Callithrix jacchus: one gene and its partner. The protein of the gene in region 1 purifies or fractionates together with the protein of each later gene. This does not show direct contact. Links are inferred from orthologs where the notes say so. Each region holds a gene or a part of one and is shown in the gene's direction. Other genes may lie near its edges. The genes, in order: NGFR and NDN.

Evidence for each region.
Region 2: the proteins of NGFR (region 1) and NDN purify together in Homo sapiens (affinity purification with western blotting; 3 studies listed by BioGRID). This does not show direct contact. The link is inferred for Callithrix jacchus from reciprocal best matches to the Homo sapiens genes NGFR and NDN.

Annotation. Positions count from the first base shown.
Region 1 is NC_133506.1:116,797,626-116,801,438, reverse strand, and holds part of NGFR (tumor necrosis factor receptor superfamily member 16), read left to right. Parts: intron 1-2,094; coding exon 2,095-2,347; intron 2,348-3,813. UniProt on the Homo sapiens protein: Low affinity receptor which can bind to NGF, BDNF, NTF3, and NTF4. Forms a heterodimeric receptor with SORCS2 that binds the precursor forms of NGF, BDNF and NTF3 with high affinity, and has much lower affinity for mature NGF and BDNF.
Region 2 is NC_133507.1:5,529,628-5,533,540, forward strand, and holds NDN (necdin), read left to right. Parts: upstream 1-1,526; 5' UTR 1,527-1,614; coding exon 1,615-2,580; 3' UTR 2,581-3,426; downstream 3,427-3,913. UniProt on the Homo sapiens protein: Growth suppressor that facilitates the entry of the cell into cell cycle arrest.

The DNA of each region.
Region 1 (3,813 bases):
AGGCTCTGCCTTTTGGGGCATTCACAGATTCCTCCCAGATACCAGCCCACTTTCACAGCTACCCCGAAGGAGGAGGGTGCTCCTGAGGGCGTGTTCATCCAGGACCCTGTTCCCCTTTCAGCTTCAGGCTCTGAAGGGTTAAATGTCAGCTCTGGGACAACAGACCATTTCAGGAAATGGAATTTGATTCTTGGTTTGGTTGCCCCCTCCCCTCCAGTGTACCATACTGCCACACATGTACGTTTCAGGTGTCAACATGGTGACTCACCCACCCTCAGGGCAGAAGGGCTCCCCCCAGTCCCAGTGAAATTCGGGTTGGGTAGGGATAACCTGGTCCCTCCTTCCAGCCCGGAAATAGCTGTCAGGACCTGCCAAGGGCTTAGTGGGTTGGAATGCTAGTGGACGCGGCCACATCTGGATCTCATCCCCCCACCCCAGTCAGAGAGGGTTGGAGAGATGAGGGCAGCTCCCTGAGAGCCAGCGCTGCCTCTGGTCTGGCCACACCTTGCCACCCTCCCATCCTTCCCCTACCATGCTCTGATCTAGGTGATGGTCTCATTCACCGGCACCCAGCCACGCACACTCCTTCAGCCTCTGGCTTGGGGTCAGTCTGAGCTGAGCTGTGTCTCCAGCCTCTGGGCTTGGGCTGCCCCCCAGCTTGCTCGGTCCCCTGGGAGAGCAAGAGAAGACCCTCCCCGGTCCAGCGCTCCACCTGGGGCTGCCAGAAGACAGGGCTCCATCTCCTTCACTCCCTCTGCTCCTCCCAGGACTGAGACAGGAAGGGTGGGATGGGGTGGCAGATGGCAACCCCTCACCGATGGCAGCCAGATGGATTCCGGATTCATATCTGGGGGCTTTGCCCCTCAGAAGGTGCTGAAAATCGGCCTTTGAAGCATTTTCATCTTGAGTGGAAGAGGTCACAAGATGGGTGGGCGGCTTCCATTCCTGCTTGGGTGGGCAAAGTGGGGGTAGGGTGGGCAGAGCTGGGAGCAAGGTATTCTCCCCTTCACCCCACTGGCATGTCCTGTCTGCTTTCCCTCCCTGCCTCAGGCATGGGAAGTGAGGAGGGACGGGGCAGGCAACTTTGCCCAGGCAAGTTTCCCCAAACTGTCCAGAGCCCACGACCCCTAGCACTGCTCCTGGCTGTGTGGCAGAATGGAAAATCCCACCCACCAGTGCCAGGAAGGGCTGGGTTCCTGCCAGGGAGGCTGGCAATGCCCACTTAGCACGAGAGGTTCTAGGTGGGTGGCAAGTCACAGTCAGCCTCCTGCTGAGGCAGTGAGCTGGACCTGTCTCATGGGCCCCCCTCTCCACACTCTCTGCTTTCTGACCAAGGAGGGTTGGGGCTTGACTTGATGCCGTCTTCTCTGGATGGGAGGACCAGGCTAGGTGGGAGCCAGGCGAGAAGGAAACAGAGGCTGGCCACTGTCCAAGGGCTGGCTGGAGGGAGGCAATGCAGCTGCCCCACGCCCCTCCTCTCTCCCCAAGCCTAGAGCCTAGGACGTGAGACTGGAAAAGTTGTGGGGGTGCAAAAAATTGAGGTGCAGCTCCCAGGGAGGTGGTGTGGGGAGCACTACTCTGACCAGACCTGAATACCCTCTTCTTTCCTTAGGACAGGAGTGACTGGGGTCATCTAGGATAAGCTGGGGCCAGAGACACATTTCCTGGAGTGGTTCCAGCTCGAGGCCTCTCTGTGGCCAGGCTTCTTTGTGTGTTTGCTCCCATCCAGGCCTCTGGGTACACAGGGAGATGGACTAGAATTCCAGGACCACAGCCCCAGATGGAAGGGAGCTTCAGACGGTCTCTTTTAATAGCCCCATTAGATAGATGAGGACACTGAGTTCCTGAGAGAAAAGGGGGCTGGGCCAGAGTCACCCAGCAAGTCAGTGATGGAGCTGAAGCCGATGCAGCTCTGTGCGCTTACAGGCCTTGCTCTTGAGCGTCATGACGTTGGACATACGATCCCAGCCCCCACTCTGCATGACAGCTGGGCATAAGAGACCTGGAGCCAGGGCGGGGACATGGGAAGAAGGTCAGACCTAAAAGGGAGGGGTGGGGAAAGTGGGTCCTCACTCCTGTGGCCTTTTCTCCCAGAGATCCCTGGCCGTTGGATTACACGGTCTGTACCCCCTGAGGGCTCAGACATCACAGCCCCCAGCACCCAGGAGCCTGAGGCACCTCCAGAACAAGACATCATAGCCAGCACGGTGGCAGATGCGGTAACCACAGTGATGGGCAGCTCCCAACCTGTGGTGACACGAGGCACCACTGACAACCTCATCCCTGTCTATTGCTCCATCCTGGCTGCTGTGGTTGTGGGCCTTGTGGCCTACATAGCCTTCAAGAGGTGAGAGAGGGCATGGTGGGAACAGAGAAGGGAGATTTTGCCCTCAAGGAAGACTTTGCCATGACCTTGACCTGAAAACACACACACTCTTTTAACTCAACCCCAAACCAAACTCATCTTCACTCATCATCCGCTGCCCCACTCCAGGGTGCAGCAGCTCAGTAGGAAGTGAGGGGAGAGGACCCACCTGTCCTGTCCTGTCCTGCCTCCAGCCCCTTCCACTCCCATGCCACACCACTCCCTGACTCCCAACCCCCTACTGCTTGTGTCCTCATCCCCCAACCTCCTTCACCCCACCATCACCCGTGTGTGTGTGTGTGTGTGTGTGTGTGTGTGTGTGTCTCCTCTCCATCCCTTGTCACACTTGGAATCCAGGAATTCGGGATGTGCAGGAACTCCCAGAAAGCATTTTATTTTATTTTTTATTTTTATTTTTTTGAGATGGAGATTTGCTCTTGTTACCCAGGCTGGAGTGCAATGGCATGATCTCGGCTCACCGCAACCTCCGCTTCCTGGGTTCAAGCAATTCTCCTGCCTCAGCCTCCTGAGTAGCTGGGATTACAGGCATGCGCTACCATGCCCAGCTAATTTTTGTATTTTTAGTAGAGACAGTGTTTCATCTTGTTGACCAGGATGGTCTCGATCTCTTGACCTTGTGATCCACCCACCTCGGCCTCCCAAAGTGCTGGGATTATAGGAGTGAGCCACCGCGCCCGGCCTCAGAAAGCATTTTAAAGCTTTAAATGCATTTTCCATTTTTACTAAAACAAACAAACAAAAAACCATCAAAGTGACACATGCATGTTTAGGAAAATGCACACAAGACAATATCTTTCAAACAGAAAGTGAAACTCCCCTTCCATCTCTTCAAATCCTACTCCCCTCCTTATTGGAATCTGTTTGGAATGGATCCTTCCCATTGCCAACTATTTTCTGCGTGTCTTTTTTATAAACATGTATATAAGCCTTTTATAATGACATGTAAACACAGAGGGCTTTTTAGGTATCAGTGGGATCACATTGTACATATTCCATAGCTTACTTTTTTCACTCAGCCTCCCTCAGGAGACCTTTCCTCAGGAATGTAGATTAGCTGATCATTTGTAACCACTCATTCAATAGTATGGATGGATGGTAATTTATTTAGCCAGTGCCCTATTGATGGACATTTGTTTTTTTTTCTCCAGTTTTTTGTTATTGCTTATAATTGCAGAGAAAATCCTTGTATATATCACTGCCCGCATATGGGAGTACTTTAGAAGGGTAGATGGGGAGAAGTGGAGTTAGTTCCTCAGCACTGCTCATTTCAGGAACATTTACTGAACAGTTACAGAGGCCCCCTCTGCCCTCATGGAGCTTTCAGGGTAGGCGGGGCGGGAGGGGGGTGGGGGGGGCGTTGGGGGGGCAGATACGTAAAGAGGAGCCTTAGATGCTGAGGTGGCGGTTAATAGTTGGGCAGCTGCCAT
Region 2 (3,913 bases), on another chromosome or scaffold:
TGGAAAGAAGAAAGAGGAGGTGGAGGTGGAGGAGGAGGAGGAAGAGAAAAGTGTTGAAATAATTCCAAGTAAGACTGATATCTATGAATTTCCCTGGTGGAGTGGGAAGCTAAAGAGACCAAAGAGTCCTGTTGGAGGGACTGGCGTGGGAATGGCCCTGTCAAAAGTGTCACATGCATGCCAACCCAACCAGAGAAAGCACAGAAAACCCTTCAACACCAACCTGCTTGAGGAAAATTAAAGTGACAAATGAGAAAAGATAGATACTCATAGTGAGGACTCTAGACATGTCAAGACAATTTTAAAACATGCTTTGGGCTTCAAGTGGCAATAACTAGACTCGAGACAACATATTTAAGAAGCTGCTGATGAGAGGGAACCCGGCAAGGGCTGAAGGACCACATCAACGCAGACCAAGGATGCTGAAGCAGCATGGAGGCCCCTGGTTGTGGAGGCTCCAGCAATGCCCCTTTTTCCACGGACAGCCTCTAGGAGTGACAGCTTTGCCTTGGCCCACTGGGAATCTGTTTTCTATAACTGGAAAACAGGGCTATCCATATGTTGCCCCCGCTACCTTTTGGTCATCTGAGACACCGCCAGATATTGCCCATGGGACCTATATCTTTTTGGAGATCTCAGGAAGGAATGATTTGGGTGTGACTCCCAACACTGAGGACTCAGTAGCTTCAGAGAAGGTCCTGGGAGAAGGTGAATCGGAGAATGAGGTGCTGGGCAGAGGGAAAAATGCATTATCATACAAGTTTGTGCTAATAGATATGGCAATCCTTCTGTTATGGACTAAGCATGGAAAAATAAAAGAAAATGGAATCAAAGTGACTCAAAGTAAGTGTAAAAGCCAAACCTATGCCCATGAAAGCATCAATGATGGTCTAAGCCCACTGCCTCCTGAACAAGTTCACGGCTCACGCGGGTAGGAAATCACGTTAACGACACGCTGCATTTCTCCTTTCCTTATAACCGCATTTCTCCTTTCCTTATAACCCCTCTGATGTGGTAGGGAGGGAGTCAATCAACTTTTTATTGGAATTTCTCAGGATTCCAACCTCGGACATCCGCCTCACAGTTTACACGTCTTCTCGGACAGCCCGACCGTTCCTCTCACTCGTTCACATAAAGCTCCAGTTTGCACAGCCTCCCAGACCTTCCTCTGGGGCTCTCATACTTAACTGGATTCTGGATATACCCAGGCGAGCATTTCCCAGGAAAGTCGACCCCAGCATCCCCAAAACCTGAGTTATCATCTTTCCCCAAAACCTGCTCCTTCTCCACAGGCATCCATCTCCCTCCTCTCCTACCCTGAACTTCCTCGGCCGGAACAGGAAACCCCGGGATCGCTGTCCCGCCAGGTGACGCCTCACCGCGGACCCTCCCCGTCGGGGCCCCTCGCGGCCCCGCCCGCCCCCGGCCGCCCGCCCGCCCTGGCCGCGGTCGCGCAGGCGCAGTGCCGCGTCCCGCCGCCGCCCCGCCCTGCCCGCCGCTGCGGAAGGCGCCGCGCGCAGCAACGCGCACTTCCTCTCCAGGAGTCCGCGGAGGGAGCGCAGGCTCGAAGAGCTCCTGGACGCAGAGGCCCTGCCCTTGCCAGACGGCGCAGACATGTCAGAGCAGAGTAAGGATCTGAGCGACCCTAGCTTTGCCGCCGAGGCACCCAGCTCCGAGGCGCAGAGCAGCCCTGGGGTTCCGGGGGGGGTTCCTCCGTCCGCGACCCTGGCGGAGCCGCAGAGCCCTCCCCTAGGCCCGACGGCCGCCCCGCAGGCCGCGCAGCCGCCCCAGGCCCCGATCGAGGAGGTCGACCCGAAGGCTTTGCTGGAGGCCGCAGAGGAGGGCCGCGCCCACCAGGCCCCGAGCGCGGCCCAGCCCGGCCCGGCGCCGCCCGCCCCGGCGCAGCTGGTGCAGAAGGCGCACGAGCTCATGTGGTACGTGCTGGTCAAGGACCAGAAGAAGATGATCATCTGGTTTCCAGACATGGTGAAAGATGTCATCGGCAGCTACAAGAAGTGGTGCAGGAGCATCCTGCGGCGCACCAGCCTCATCCTCGCCCGGGTGTTCGGGCTGCACCTGAGGCTGACCAGCCTGCACACCATGGAGTTTGCGCTGGTCAAAGCGCTGGAGCCGGAGGAGCTGGACAGGGTGGCGCTGAGCAACCGCATGCCCATGACGGGCCTCCTGCTCATGATCCTGAGCCTCATCTACGTGAAGGGCCGCGGCGCCAGAGAGAGCGCCGTCTGGAACGTGCTGCGCATCCTGGGGCTGCGGCCCTGGAAGAAGCACTCCACCTTCGGGGACGTGCGAAAGCTCATCACCGAGGAGTTCGTCCAACAGAATTACCTGAAGTACCAGCGCGTCCCGTACGTGGAGCCGCCAGAGTATGAGTTCTTCTGGGGCTCCCGGGCCAGCCGTGAAATCACCAAGATGCAAATCATGGAGTTCCTGGCCAGGGTCTTTAAGAAAGACCCCCAGGCCTGGCCCTCCCGATACAGAGAAGCCCTGGAGGAGGCCAGAGCTCTGCGGGAGGCTAATCCCGCTGCTCACTGCCCCCGCAACAGTGTCTCCGAGGACTAGCAAGGTCTGGAGGCAGATGAAATGCTTTCTGACCCTCACCGGGGCTGTGGAAGGGTGGGGGTGGGTCATTAGAGTGTTCGGGATTTACAGTGCAGTATTCACGTGTAACTTTTAAGTTTTCAGTACAGTGCTTTTATACCTTTAATGCAATGTTGTATTCATTTGGGTACTCTTGTGTAGTATTTAGGATGTATGCATGTTTGTTTATATGTAAGCTTGGTTGGTGCTTTCGCTTTTGTGCTACCTTTCTTGGATTTTTGTACCTGAGACATGCTAAACTGACGAAGTACCTTGAGAAAGTTTGCATCTTATTATTTTATATGGGACTGGTGATGTGTGTTGGGGTAGACTGCTCCTGCAGAGTTTGGAAGAACTCACCAGCAAAGCTGGCCTAACCAAGAGAAAAGTCAAGGCTCTTCGTGACCTTGCTGGGCACAGAAGACATTCTCGTGGAGTAAACTGATTTGAACTGGACTGGTCTCAATGTGAGCACTTGGCACAATTTACTAAACACATATACAACCCTACCGTGAGTCAACTTTAAAGTAAACATTAAAGATTCTTGTGATACAATCATTTTTGGAAAAGTGTACTCTTATCATTTTAACAGAGCACTATGATTGGGAATGAGACAATTCTCTATTTTACAATGTGTACAGATGTAACTGTTTCCCCTAATAGGGTGGGAAAAATCGCTACTCGTGATTACTCCTAAATTTGTGAAGGTTATAGTTTTATTGTCTTTAAATGTAATTGTTTATTTCAAAAACATGCACAAATATAAAGTATAAAAACAAAGCAGTATGATTGTCCATCATCACATCATATGAGAATAAAAACTAAAAATAACTTCCTTCCCTTAAGTTTCTATATTTTATCAAAATTAATGGATGTCTTGTGGGCACTTAAAGAGTGAGACATTGTACTCAGCCCTAACATGTATTTTTCCCCTTTTATTTAACCCTCACAACAGGCCTGTGAGGAAGGCATCTACTGCCTTTGCACCATGGAGGAAACAGGAATAATGTAGGTAATTAACTTTCCATAGCTTGTAAAGGTTAGCAAGAGAAGGAGCTGGCACTTCAACTCAGAATGAATCCAGAGCCCACATTTGTCCCCACCTGCCTACAATCCCTCATACACCCTGTGGCTTTTAGGTTATTTATTTTCAAACTTATTTTTACATTTTACGTGGGAGCCCACACTCCCAGCTCCCACCTCCCACACTCACATGCATTCATGGGCCACACAGAGAGAGAGGCTAGGAATTTTATTTTTCTAGTTCTCACAATATTTTGGAGAAAGCAAGATTATTCTGATTGTGTAAATTAAG